Canis lupus familiaris: one gene and its partners. The protein of the gene in region 1 interacts with the protein of each later gene in a biochemical or structural test. Links are inferred from orthologs where the notes say so. Each region holds a gene or a part of one and is shown in the gene's direction. Other genes may lie near its edges.

The links.
Region 2: the proteins of CHEK2 (region 1) and PPP2R5A form a complex in vitro, tested with the Homo sapiens proteins (2 studies listed by BioGRID and IntAct, with this or other methods). The link is inferred for Canis lupus familiaris from reciprocal best matches to the Homo sapiens genes CHEK2 and PPP2R5A.
Region 3: of the proteins of CHEK2 (region 1) and CDC25C, one has a biochemical effect on the other in vitro, tested with the Homo sapiens proteins (14 studies listed by BioGRID). The link is inferred for Canis lupus familiaris from reciprocal best matches to the Homo sapiens genes CHEK2 and CDC25C.

The regions. Positions count from the first base shown.
Region 1 is NC_049247.1:22,471,483-22,474,982, reverse strand, and holds part of CHEK2 (serine/threonine-protein kinase Chk2), read left to right. Parts: intron 1-1,290; coding exon 1,291-1,377; intron 1,378-2,150; coding exon 2,151-2,314; intron 2,315-2,507; coding exon 2,508-2,623; intron 2,624-3,500. UniProt on the Homo sapiens protein: Serine/threonine-protein kinase which is required for checkpoint-mediated cell cycle arrest, activation of DNA repair and apoptosis in response to the presence of DNA double-strand breaks.
Region 2 is NC_049228.1:10,355,155-10,359,374, forward strand, and holds the start of PPP2R5A (serine/threonine-protein phosphatase 2A 56 kDa regulatory subunit alpha isoform), read left to right. Parts: upstream 1-1,420; 5' UTR 1,421-1,435; coding exon 1,436-1,637; intron 1,638-1,792; exon of another isoform or gene 1,793-1,864; intron 1,865-4,220. UniProt on the Homo sapiens protein: The B regulatory subunit might modulate substrate selectivity and catalytic activity, and might also direct the localization of the catalytic enzyme to a particular subcellular compartment.
Region 3 is NC_049232.1:25,988,832-25,992,876, reverse strand, and holds the start of CDC25C (M-phase inducer phosphatase 3), read left to right. Parts: upstream 1-1,245; 5' UTR 1,246-1,263; intron 1,264-1,737; exon of another isoform or gene 1,738-1,974; 5' UTR 1,975-2,089; intron 2,090-2,192; exon of another isoform or gene 2,193-2,514; intron 2,515-2,961; exon of another isoform or gene 2,962-3,040; coding exon of another isoform or gene 3,041-3,169; intron 3,170-3,395; 5' UTR 3,396-3,477; intron 3,478-3,934; coding exon of another isoform or gene 3,935-4,045. Other genes in the region: SLBP2 (uncharacterized LOC474694), read right to left, coding at 3,041-3,169, 3,935-4,045. UniProt on the Homo sapiens protein: Functions as a dosage-dependent inducer in mitotic control. Tyrosine protein phosphatase required for progression of the cell cycle. When phosphorylated, highly effective in activating G2 cells into prophase.

The DNA.
Region 1 (3,500 bases):
GCTTATTTTAATAAGATCTCAATATACTTTTATCACTCATTTACATTTTTATTGAAACTGATACCTTGTATTTCTGGCAGTGTGAAGGGATATTTATTATTATTATTATTATTATTTTTTATGATAGGCACACAGTGAGAGAGAGAGAGAGAGAGGCAGAGACACAGGCAGAGGGAGAAGCAGGCTCCATGCACCGGGAACCCGACGTGGGATTCGATCCCGGGTCTCCAGGATCGCGCCCTGGGCCAAAGGCAGGCGCCAAACCGCTGCGCCACCCAGGGATCCCGGGATATTTATTATTTTGAAGAGTGAAATAAACGGTCTACTGTCATAAGTGGCATTTTTCACTTTTTCTGATCAAGAGTTGAATGCTGTACTGACTGAGCCAGCCAGGTGCCCCTAAAGATTTTCTTGAAAACAAATTTGTGGGGCACGTGGGTGGCTCAGTCAGTTAAGCATCTGCTTTTGGTTCAGGTTATGATCATTGGGTCCTGGGATCAAGGCCTTCACGGGGTGCCCTGCCTCAGCAGGGAGTCTGCTTTCTCTCCCTCTGCCCTTCCCCTTGCTTGTGATCTCTCTTCTCTCTTGTGAGTACTCTCTCTTTCTCTCAAATGAATAAATATAATCTTTAAAAAAAAAAAAAAAAAAAAAAACCCAGACAGGAAAAAAACAAAACAAACCAGACAGGGATCCCTGGGTGGCTCAGTGGTTTGGCGCCTGCCTTCAGCCCAGGGCATGATCCTGGAGACCTGGGATTGAGTCCCATGTCGGGCTCCCTGCATGGAGCCTGCTTCTCCCTCTGCCTGTGTCTCTGCCTCTCTCTCTCTCTCTCTCTCATGAAGAAATAAATAAAAATCTTAAAAAACAAACAAACAAACAAAACCAACCAGACAAACCCAGGGGTGCCTGGGTGGCTCAGTGGTTGAGTATCTGCCTTTGGCTCAGGTCGTGATCCTGGGGTCCTGGGATCAAGTACCACATCTGGCTCCCCATGGGAAGCCTGCTTCTCCCTCTGCCTGTGTGTGTGTCTGTCTCTCATGAATAAATAAAATATTTTAAAAAATAAAAAACAAACCTAGAAAATAAATTTGTAAACATTACGCCGTTTACCCAGTTGTTTTCTATGATTTGGGGGAACATGATTGTAAGTAACCTGGCTTATGATTTCACTGAGCTGTAAAGGTATGTGTGTGTGTGTATGCGCGCGCGCGCATGTGTGTTTGTCTTTCTGTGTGTCTTCACTCACATACCTACTCTGTAAATCCAAGTCATGCCTCCATTTCTGTGTAGTACCTTCATGAAAATGGCATTATACATCGGGACTTAAAGCCAGAGAATGTTCTACTCTCATCTCAAAAAGAGGACTGTCTTATAAAGGTAAGATATTTATGTTCTGTATGTGGCCACTCCAGTAGATTTTTGTTCATAGACTTATAAAATTTATCAAGTAAAAAGTGGGAACATAAAAAGGTACAGAATTTGACCATTCCACTATTAGCAATCATTTTAGCGATTAGGCGGTATTGCTCTGGTCCAGATTCTAATGAGTATTTATTGAACTCCACTGTATACAAACCACTTTTATTCAGAGAGGAAAGAGGTGTCTAGATGGATGACACAATCCTATCCACTCTCTTCCCCTGCTTTCTAGGGCAACATGCTTCCCAAGCTTGGTTTCACTATAGAATTTCCTATTAATTAAAAAAAAAAAAAAAAAAAAAGTCATGACACCTAGGCTGCATCTCAGAATTGCTGAAGGTGGCACCCAGGTGTGAGTATTTTGTCCAAGCACCTCAGGAATTCCAGTGTTGAGATTGGTTGAGAAACTAGGGTCTAAGGAAAACTGTGGGTAACTAATTAGTGCCCTGGGGTCTGGGTTAGATAAGGGATAAACCTTTTGTAAGGTTACGGAGAGCCACAGATAAGTTGTAGAAAAAACCTTGTGCTTCCTTGGGTTGGAAATTTTAATTTAAGCAAAATTAAATTTAATTTGCAGTGTTAAAGTTATAGATTCCAGATTAATAGTAGGCATGAACCATATAGGATATGAACTGATCTAGCCCACATGCCCTTTAGGATTGGCAGACTATGTTAATCTTTTTTATTTTATGACACCATTAAAAATGGTACCCTTTTGTCCTTAATTTTAGATTACTGATTTTGGGCAGTCTAAGATTTTGGGGGAGACCTCTCTCATGAGAACCTTATGTGGTACTCCCACCTACCTGGCTCCTGAGGTTCTTAATTCCTTTGGGACTGCTGGATATAACCGAGCGGTGGATTGCTGGAGTTTAGGAGTTATTCTTTTTATTTGGTAAGAAAAGTTTCATTGCTTCAGTGTCTGGTTGTAGGTAATTAGGTGAAATCAAAAACGTGTCCAGGTAGAGAGTTTGTATTTAATTTGAGTGACTTTTTTTGACCATTGATTTAAAGAAAAATCTAGATGTCTGAATGCCACTGAGAATATAACTTGATTTCTTTTCCTTTTTCTCTTTACCAATATTAAGCCTTAGTGGGTACCCACCTTTCTCTGAGCATAAGACTCAAGTGCCCTTGAAGGATCAGATCACCAGTGGAAAATTCAACTTCATTCCTGAAGTCTGGGCAGAGGTCTCAGAAAAGGGTATGGATATGAAAGGGTTAAGAATTTGTGGTTTGCTAAAAAGTGTGTGTACTGTGGTGGAAATTTCTTTTTACATTCTGTTGTGTTCCTCCTGTTAATTTTTATTTTCTGTTGTTTGTTTTGCACCTCTTGAGGGGCAAAGAAAGTTAAGAACATGGGCTCCAGGACCAGGCTGGCTGAGGCTCATATTTTGGGTCTGCTACTTCTTAGCTATGTGACCTTAAGCAAGTTACTTAACCTCTCTGAGGTTAAGTAACTTGCTTTGAATGTAAAGGGGGTACAGTAAACCCCTACCTTAAAGGGGTTTTGTGAGAGAAAGTGTAACCTGAGCAAGTGCCTGGTACCTACTAGTGGACAAAATAATAAGTAACTTTTCAGTTACAAAGTCTCCTTTGAGTAAGAGCCTAAGTAGTTACTTTGTGTTTTAGAATTTAAAAGTATAACTTTGTAATTCTCAAAAGGAGAAGTAGAAAATAAAACTAAATGTCAGGTTATGTAACAATTTTGTTGTCTTAGAATGTCAAAGGAATAATATTGTTGCAACATAAAAGCCAGCCTCCGCTTGTTGCTTGCTGTCAAGCTTTGTTTCTGCCAAGCCTGCAGTTCCGAGGAGCCTGATGCTGGCTGAGAAACTCTCCCTGTCCATCCATGGGTCTCGGGGAGAGTTGGCTGAGCATCCTGAGCATTTCAGAACTAGGTAGAAGTTCAGATTTAATTAGTTTGAACTTGAGTCCAGCAACGAGGGAGGGGACAGGGAGCGTTGAAGAGGTGGTGATGTGTGAGCAAGGAGAGATGGGGGCATTGTGGTCATTCCTGGTGTTCTCTGAGAGCTCTGAATACAGAGTGAGAGGACTGGGTGGGGTGGGGGTGGGGGCTG
Region 2 (4,220 bases), on another chromosome or scaffold:
AACTCGCCTCCTCGCCCTCCCCGGGGCCCCGTCGCCCATTAACCCCACCGCCCGCTTCCCCAACCTGACTTCTGCTCCACCCATCTTAGTGATGCAACACACCTGGCGCTCTTTCCCGCCCTAGACCTCAGACAGACCCCATCAGTCGCTTCAGTCCCTCATTGGCCAGCGGGGAGCACAGGGGAAGGGAAAGGGCCTTCCATTTTGCTCTCTGAAACTACCCACTCCGGTTCCCTGGTCTTCTCATAGGCCGTCGGGAGAGCAATGAGAGCCCGGAGCTGCCGCGCACGCGCGCGGAGGAGCCCGCCGGAGGCGGGGCACTTCCCCTTTCTAGCAGGAGCATTCATCGCGCTGTTGTGACGTAGCGGCGCGCCGCTCGCCGTCCTCACTTACGATTGGCTGTGGCAGAAGCCCGTCACACAGCCACGCCCCACTCCTCAGCCTAACCTCCCCCTTCGGAGCCCGCCCGGGAGGCCACGCCCCACCCCGGTCCCGCCGCTTAGGCCTGCGATTGGCTGAGGGAACCGGCATGGTTACCCGCCTCCTACTCCCTCCCCGAACGTCCGAGGCCGGCGGGACCCCGCGGAAGGGGTCCGTCAATCTCCTCCTTCCCCACCCCTCGCCAGCCCCTCCCCCGGCCGCGCGCACACGCACACGCACACGCACACGCGCACACTCTGCCCGCGTCCTGCCCCCTCCCCCCGCCCCTGCGTGCGCCCTCCGCCTTCTCGAGTCGTTAGCGGCCGCTCGCCGGGGCTTGTCCGTGGGCGGCGGAAGGGCGCGCGGGGGAGGGCGCTCGGACCGCGCGGCGCCGCGAGGAGCGAGCGTGCGCGCCCAGAGCCCCGCGGCGGGTCACCGCCCCGGGAGATGAGGGTCCGGCGCTGACGGGGAAGAGCGGGCACCGCGGCGGCGGCGGCTCGGAGGGGCCCCGCGATGGCAGCGCCTCGGGAGGAGGCTGCGGGCAGGGCGGGCAGCGCGGGCAGCGCGGGCAGCGGCCGCTGAGGGGCCGCCGGCCGCAGCGCGGGGCTGAGGAGGAGCGAGGCGCGCGCGGCGTCCGCACCCCCGCGCCGTCGCCGCAGTTGTCCAAACTTCGGGCTCTCTTCCACCCGCTCTCCGCGCCCGGAGTCAACAACTTCTTCACCCCCCTCCGTCCCCGCCCTCGCCTCCGTCAGCCCCGGGAGGCGGCGGCCGCGCGGCGGGGACCAGGAACCGCCGGCCCTGAGATGTGGCCGTGAGGCGGCGGCGGCGGCGGGCGGGCGGCGCGGAGAAGCTCGGCGGCGCCCGGGAGCCGGAGGGCGGCGCGGCCGCGGGGACGGGGACGGGGCGGAGGGGCGCGAGCTCCCCGCGCCTCTCCCCCCGCCTCCTCCTCCTCCTCCTGCCGCTGCCCGTTCCCTGCACGCAGCAGCCGGAGCTGCCAGGCGCCAGGGCCGCGGCGATGTCGTCGTCGTCGTCGTCGCCGCCGCCGCCGCCGCCGCCGGCGGGGGCTGCCGGCGCCGCCATCTCGGCCTCGGAGAAAGTGGACGGCTTCACCCGGAAATCGGTGCGCAAGGCGCAGAGGCAGAAGCGCTCGCAGGGCTCGTCGCAGTTCCGCAGCCAGGGCAGCCAGGCGGAGCTGCACCCCCTGCCCCAGCTCAAAGGTAACCTCCGAGGGGGCCGCCCCGGGGCGGGGGGAGCGGGAGTCGCGTCCCTCGCGTTGCCTCCCGGCGCCCGCGCCCGCGCCCGCATCCAACAGGTTTGCTCTGCAGAGTTTGCTGCAGATGCCAGCCCCCTGCCCACCTGCGCGCTCGCTCACCTGCGCCCGCGCCTGCAGCTCTGCGGCTCAGCCCCCGCCGGGCGGCTCTTCGCGCCGGCCCGGGGCGCGCGGCGCGGGGGGTGGGGGTGGGGGTGGGGGTGGGGGCTCCTCCAGCCTGCCCTGCCCTGCCCTGCCCTGCCCTGCCCTGCCCTCCGAGACCCTCCTCCGCTCTTCCGACGCTTGGCACTGCCCCTTTACTGCTTCAGTCGGCCGGGCGTCTGCGCGCACCCTCGCCTCCCCTTGCCCGCGGAGGGAGCGACCCCAGTTGTCACAGCGAGCGGGCCCTCGGTGGCCGTCCTGCCGCAGACCGCGACGGGGAGTCGGCTGCCCGGCACACCCGCTCCTGAAGAACGGGCGTGAAAACCCCACTCGTTCGTGCAGCGCCTTATTTGCTGGGTCGTTTAGGTTCACGTGGTATCGTTAACTCCGAGAGTGGAAAGACTCCGAATACTTCGTTGCCGGGGAAGATATAGACATAGATACACACACGTACACGGTAAAGTTGGGGAAGTTGCAAAAGAGTCCATAAATCCAGTCGCTTTGCAGCGGATTGGGAACTTGGTTCGCGAAGCAGGGATTCCAGGGGACCGCGTAGGTCTGGACAGTGATTCAGATTCGTGCCCGCGCGCAGGGCTTTGCAGGAGAGCTTGGCGCTCCTCGGCGCGCGCGTACTTTTCCCACAAGGGCTCAGGGGACTTTTAATAAAATGTTTCCCGGTGGTCTGGTTTATTCTTGGTGCGTTATTCTCTTTACATTTTGTAGTGTTCGTGTCTTCGCTTCTCTGTGAGAGAGAGAAATTCGCTCGGAACGAGAGGATAACCCTCCTAGATATTTCAGACAACTCTTAGCACAAAAGAAACCTGATAGAAATCTAGATCCTCTGTTTTGCGAGGCCTGGAAATTAAAGGCTCATGCTAAAATAGAATCGGCGGTGAGATTTTTCGATCCGTTTCGCCTCCTTCAAGGATAATCTGGTTCTGATTTGTCTTTGGACCTCGCCTGAGTCTGGCTAGGAGTCTAAAGAAAACCCCAGATCGAATCACAGTTGACCTGCGATAGATCTGGAACCCCGTTCAGACCCTATACTGCCCTGTCTTTTGGGGGTGCTTCTAAATCAGGGACCTCCACAGCCAGAATCCAACTAGCTTTTGAAAGGTTTTATTGAAGAAACGTGTAGCGTAACGTGTGTGGCTGCATTTATCGTTTGCCATGCAGCATGCAAAAATGGTTAAAATTTACATATCATAGTCCTTGGTAAACCACAGTGGTAGGCATTGCCAAGATTTTAATTCTTGAGTGATATCATAGCTATAAAAGAATATCGTCTTACCTGTTAGGACATTGGATTGCTATTCATGGATTTCAGTTGTAAACTTAATTAAAACGTTTTTAAGTCATTGATTTTTTCCCATTAAATTGTGGAATTTCTCATAATCGGAAGTTTGCTGCTAGTGTTTTTCATATTTATTAAATTTGCTTTTTTAGTAAGGTATTGTGGGTCCTTACTATTGTCCTTATTAATGCATTTACTTTTATTTAATAAAAATAGTTGCATATTAAACATGGTTAGGAGATGGAGTTTTAATGCAGTTTTTAAAAGCTTGACAAAAATATGCAGAGCCAGTAATCCTTTTAAATTATATGGTGCATAGTTCAACAAGTTGAAGGTGCCATTGAGTTTTTGTTTTTTTTTGTTTTTTTTTTTTTTTACAGTATTTGGTCACTAGTGGAGAAAAAATAAAATTGGAACTTTAGATTAATTCTGCATATTTAACATGAAAATACAGTGTTCTTTAAAAGGAAAGTTCAGGTATTCGAGGTAAATTTATGCAAATATAATTGTGGAAATAAGACCCTTACTGGGATTACCCACTAATAAGAGCTACTTATACTCCAAATGCCAAAAGGCTTGAAAAGTGCTTTTAAAAAAAAAAAATCCAGTTTCTTCACATGGTACTTGGCAGTGTGCTTGATACCACAAAGTTGTGTGCTTTTTTCTGTCTGTAGTAGTTTTTTCCATTTGTGGTCTTAACAAAAACCAGTGGAAAACCCTTTAGTATGTGTATGAAAGAGAATTTTTCTTCCTGCTCTGAAATATAATCTTCCTGTGGAGAGATTCAGATATTTGTGGGCAACCAAGATCTTTCAAGTGTTTATACTAACCTGCTTATGTTACACTTTGTCCACATGGATCTAAGCTGGAAAGGTGCCAGCTATTTTCCTCAAAGCTTACTATGGGTAAGGATTAACAAAATAATCCAACTTTTTCATCTATAAGAAGTTTATTTGTGCAAAATCATTTACCAAGTAGGTTGCAGGATTTTAATAGGGAAAATGTTCAGAGAAAACTATTTTGTTATAGAAAGTTTTTAATAAAAAAGCCTTGTTAAAAGGATTTTTTAAAAAATTAGGACCTGCCATGTGGGTC
Region 3 (4,045 bases), on another chromosome or scaffold:
CATGTGATAATATCATTAATCTGAAGAGGACAATTGGGTTTATCTATTTGGCTGGATGCCAACCTCCCTCACCTGAACACCCAGGGAAGCCCCAAACAGCTCTTCTGTGACCTTGGAGGTAGAGTACTTTCTACTTTTGCAAAAAGAGGGAATCATCTCTACCCCGTTCCACCTTGGAGAGAAGTAAGTAAAGAAAAGCAAAGAACTACGTGTTGATGTATCTGCAGTTTTTTGGAAGCTGTGGGAGAAATCAACCATCATTACAGTTAACTATCATTTTCATGCATAATTATTATTACCACCCTCAAAGAAGTTCTAGCTTCCTGAGAGCTCCCTTCAGCGGCTTCCCCTATGATCTTGTGGGAAAAGCTAAAGCTTATATCACATTGCTCTTGGTTTCTTAACTCTGCCCCCAAAAGATCAACTAGAGAGGGACCCTAACTGCAGGCTTTTACCCCAGAGATCCCAGGCCTCAGGCTCACCAGCCATGAAGAGCAGGGAGTGAAGCAAAGTCTTTCAAGCTTTTCATGAGGCATTTGGCCAAACAGCAAACTCCCAGCCCTCTCTGGGATCAAGTGAAGAGAGTGATTTTGTGTTTTTCTGCATTTTAATTGTTGGGATGTGGCCACACACGGCGGTAATTGGAACAATGCAACTACCACCACGCAACTGATACTCTCAGCCTGAGTTTCCTAAAACAGGCCAGGCTGAGAGGGGGAACAGAACGGAAGCCATAAGGAATCAAACCAGGACACAAAAGAAGGCAAACCAGCTCCGCGAGGGGCCTCCTCTTTCTCAGGCAGGCATAGAAAAAAGTGTAAGAAACCCTCTCTTGCCGCCTTCCTTCCCCTTCCATTTTGTGTATCTGAGGGGCAGAGACAGCCCTGAATGTTCACTAAACAAGTTAAAACTTCTCAGCTTAACAACTGGCACAGGGCTCAGCCCTTCACAGAGCAGCAGGCCGCTAGGCCCTCCCTACGACCCCACCAGGCCCAACTCTCAATCCAGGCTTTCCCTCCACCAACAGCCCCCTAAAATAAAGACTGGACCCCCACCCCATCTACTATTGGATGGTAGTAACCCCTGACGTTGGGGTTTCAGGGATGCTAAGGTTGTGCTGAAACCTGGAGAACCCAGGATCAAATCAAGCCAAGAGGGAGGAGAGTCACAAATCCCCTGGGGACCCTCCCCCCAGGTCCCAGCCCCACACCTCTGGGGGACACTAAAGAAAAACATGAGGGAGGCAGGGAGGTACATGAACAGGTAAGTGGGGAACTGACTGCTCTTCCTCCATATGGCTCTGGCGGGGATAGGGGTGACAAGTGGGGAGCACCCCTCCCCCCACCCCGATGAAGAAGCAAAAGGCTAGGCCCCCCTCCAGTCTTCAACCTCTCCCTCGGTTGCCCTGCCTGTCCCCGCGGGGTGGGGCATGGGGCGTCCGCTAGCCCCTAGGGGGGCACCAGGGCTCGCTCAGGGGGGCTGTCTTTCGCCTCTTCCCAATCAGCTTCCATCATCTGGCCGCGGGAAGCGAACTCAGGACGCAGGAGATGGAAAGGGTCTGGGACTTAGCACTCCACCAACCCCTCCCCCACCGGGTCCCGTGCTCTCCCCGTGGAGGCGTCCAGAGAGGCCGTGCCGCGCGCGCCGCCGGGCTGGGGGAAGGGAAAGAGGGAAGGAGGGAGGGACAGTCGAGGTGCCCGCCCCGAGGCCCCAGCGCCACCTGCCCTCGCCACCTACCGCGGCTCCTCCAGCTCCCTGGGCCGCGGCCGGAGCAGCTCTGAGCGCTCCGTTCGCCCCACGGTGCCCTTAAAAGGCGCCGGCGCGAACCAACGGGCCCCGAAGGAGAGTGGGGGAATCGCTCTGGTTCGCAGAATCGCCCTGAACCGCCCGGGGAGGCTCGAACCCCGCGTCGCTTCTCTCCCAAAATCTTTTTTGGAAAGTGCTGTCGGGAATGAGCCAAGCTCTTTGATTTAGGGATGAAGGTGGCTTCTTCACTATCGAGTCACCCCCTCCAAAATATTGCTGAAGGTGGACGGACCCAGTTGGCGGCACAGCTCCAAACCCGCGGGGGAGACCGTGTCGGACGAAGGTAAACAAAGCGATTCTCCTCGCCCTCCATTCCAACATTGGCCCTAGTACGGCCCCCTACCCGGTTCGGGCCGCGTAACAGAAATAGCCAGAGTTGCTCTTACCTGCTCTCTCCTCCCGCCCTCTACGGGCACCTCTCAGAAGGAATCCCCCTTCCGCCAGCAGAGGACCGGCCCGCGGCGTGAAGACTTCTGGGAAATGTAGTCCAAGAGCCGATCAGGGCCTGCTCTGAGTCCCGGGAGCCCCTCTTCCAGCTGCCGGATACCCTCCAACCTTATAAACCCAGGACTTGTAACGGTTGCGGGGCCGTTCCCAATTGATTCTGTAATTAGCCCTCACCCAAAACACTTTGTAAAGCTGAAAAGGGCCCAGGGCTGCTCACTCCTCCTCCTTCCTCTACGCACCCCCACCCCCCAGCAGGATGAGGTAATGGGGTTGTGATTATGACATCATAGGCGGTTCAGTTGCTTGCGGGGGTGGGCGGGGGAGGGGGGGGAGTATGGTGGTTACAGCTGGACCACTTTCCTTAAGACAGAAAGGGAGGGAGGAAGGAAACAGGCAGCTGGGTAAAAGATGTTGATAGCTTTGTATTTCCTCTTCAGGAAGAGGATGCCACCCTTTATTAAATTTCCACCACTACCATCACCTCCCACCTCAGCCAAAGTTTAAGTCTTTTTTGAGAAGCCTGAATGTAGACGTTAGTAGGGAGGAGGTTGGGGAACAGCAAAATGGTTACTGGCTCTTATGTAAATTTGAGGCTCAGCTATCAAAGAAGGTTTAGAAAAGCAGGCAGAAATGGAAAAAGAAGTTTTAAACAATGCTTTCGTGTTGTGATCTCTTTGTAGGGCAGTTTTAGATTTTTTTTTTTTTAATCCATTGGGAAGTAGCAGTAATGCAGGTAATCTTTACTGTTACACTTAGCAACACGTCCCTTGAAAGACATATGCTTTCTCTAAATATTTTGTGCCTCATTCAAATCTGGGACAGGTATGTAACTGTGATCAGCTAGAAAGTAGAACCAGTGGTGTTCTTCCTCATAGAGCCAGGGAAAGGAGTAGGCAGGAGGTACCAAGTCTGCAAACTGAAAAAGAAGAGTAGAGGCAGAGTGAGCTACTTATGAAGAAAATGGGGGTGGAAGGAAGATGCACTGCACATTTCCTTTCCTTGCACATTTCTCCTTGGCAAAAGAGGGGACAGGGGCCATGAAGTGGGGAGACCTAGTTTCCAATAATTGCTGTTGTGGAGCACTTATTATGTGCCAGGCACCGTGCTACATACTTTAATATGTATTCTTATTTTTTGCTTAGAATCATCAAATGAGACAAATCTCCCTATTTGACAGTTGAAATGGTTGGAGAGATGAAGTGATTGTCCATGTGGTGGACAAAGGTAATATTATAAAGCAGTCCTGAGGCTCTAAAGCCCTTGGTCTTCATTCCACTTGGTAATCCTTGTTTTTATTATCAACCATACTTTATTAAAGTTCAGTGACTGAGAATAAGAAGTAAAGTTAGCATTGGCTCATTTGCAAAATATTGAAATAAAAGGAGACATTAAAAAAGCCATATCAGGTTTCAAGGCCTCAATTCCAAGAAATATTGTACTCCTTTCATCAAGTATAAAATAACCCCCAATGCAGCCCAATTTCCCACCATTGTTAACTACAATTAAATGTCCTTATGCCACCTTTTTCTTAGATATTTTAATTCATGTCCTATTTTTTCTTGCTGCCCAATTTTTCTTCTTTTGTTTTTCGACTACTACCTTGAATCCCATCCTAATTGTTACCTTGTGGGCCAGACCCTACTCTAACCCTGCTCCAATGGGTTTTAGAAAAGGATACTACCTGGGCTCCCTTCTGGTCTTCATTCAGATTCACTGATGGTTCCAGGGCCTGGAACCAGTCATCCAGGAGGTCATCCGTAGGTGTGGAACCCATTGGCTCTAAGAGATGCTC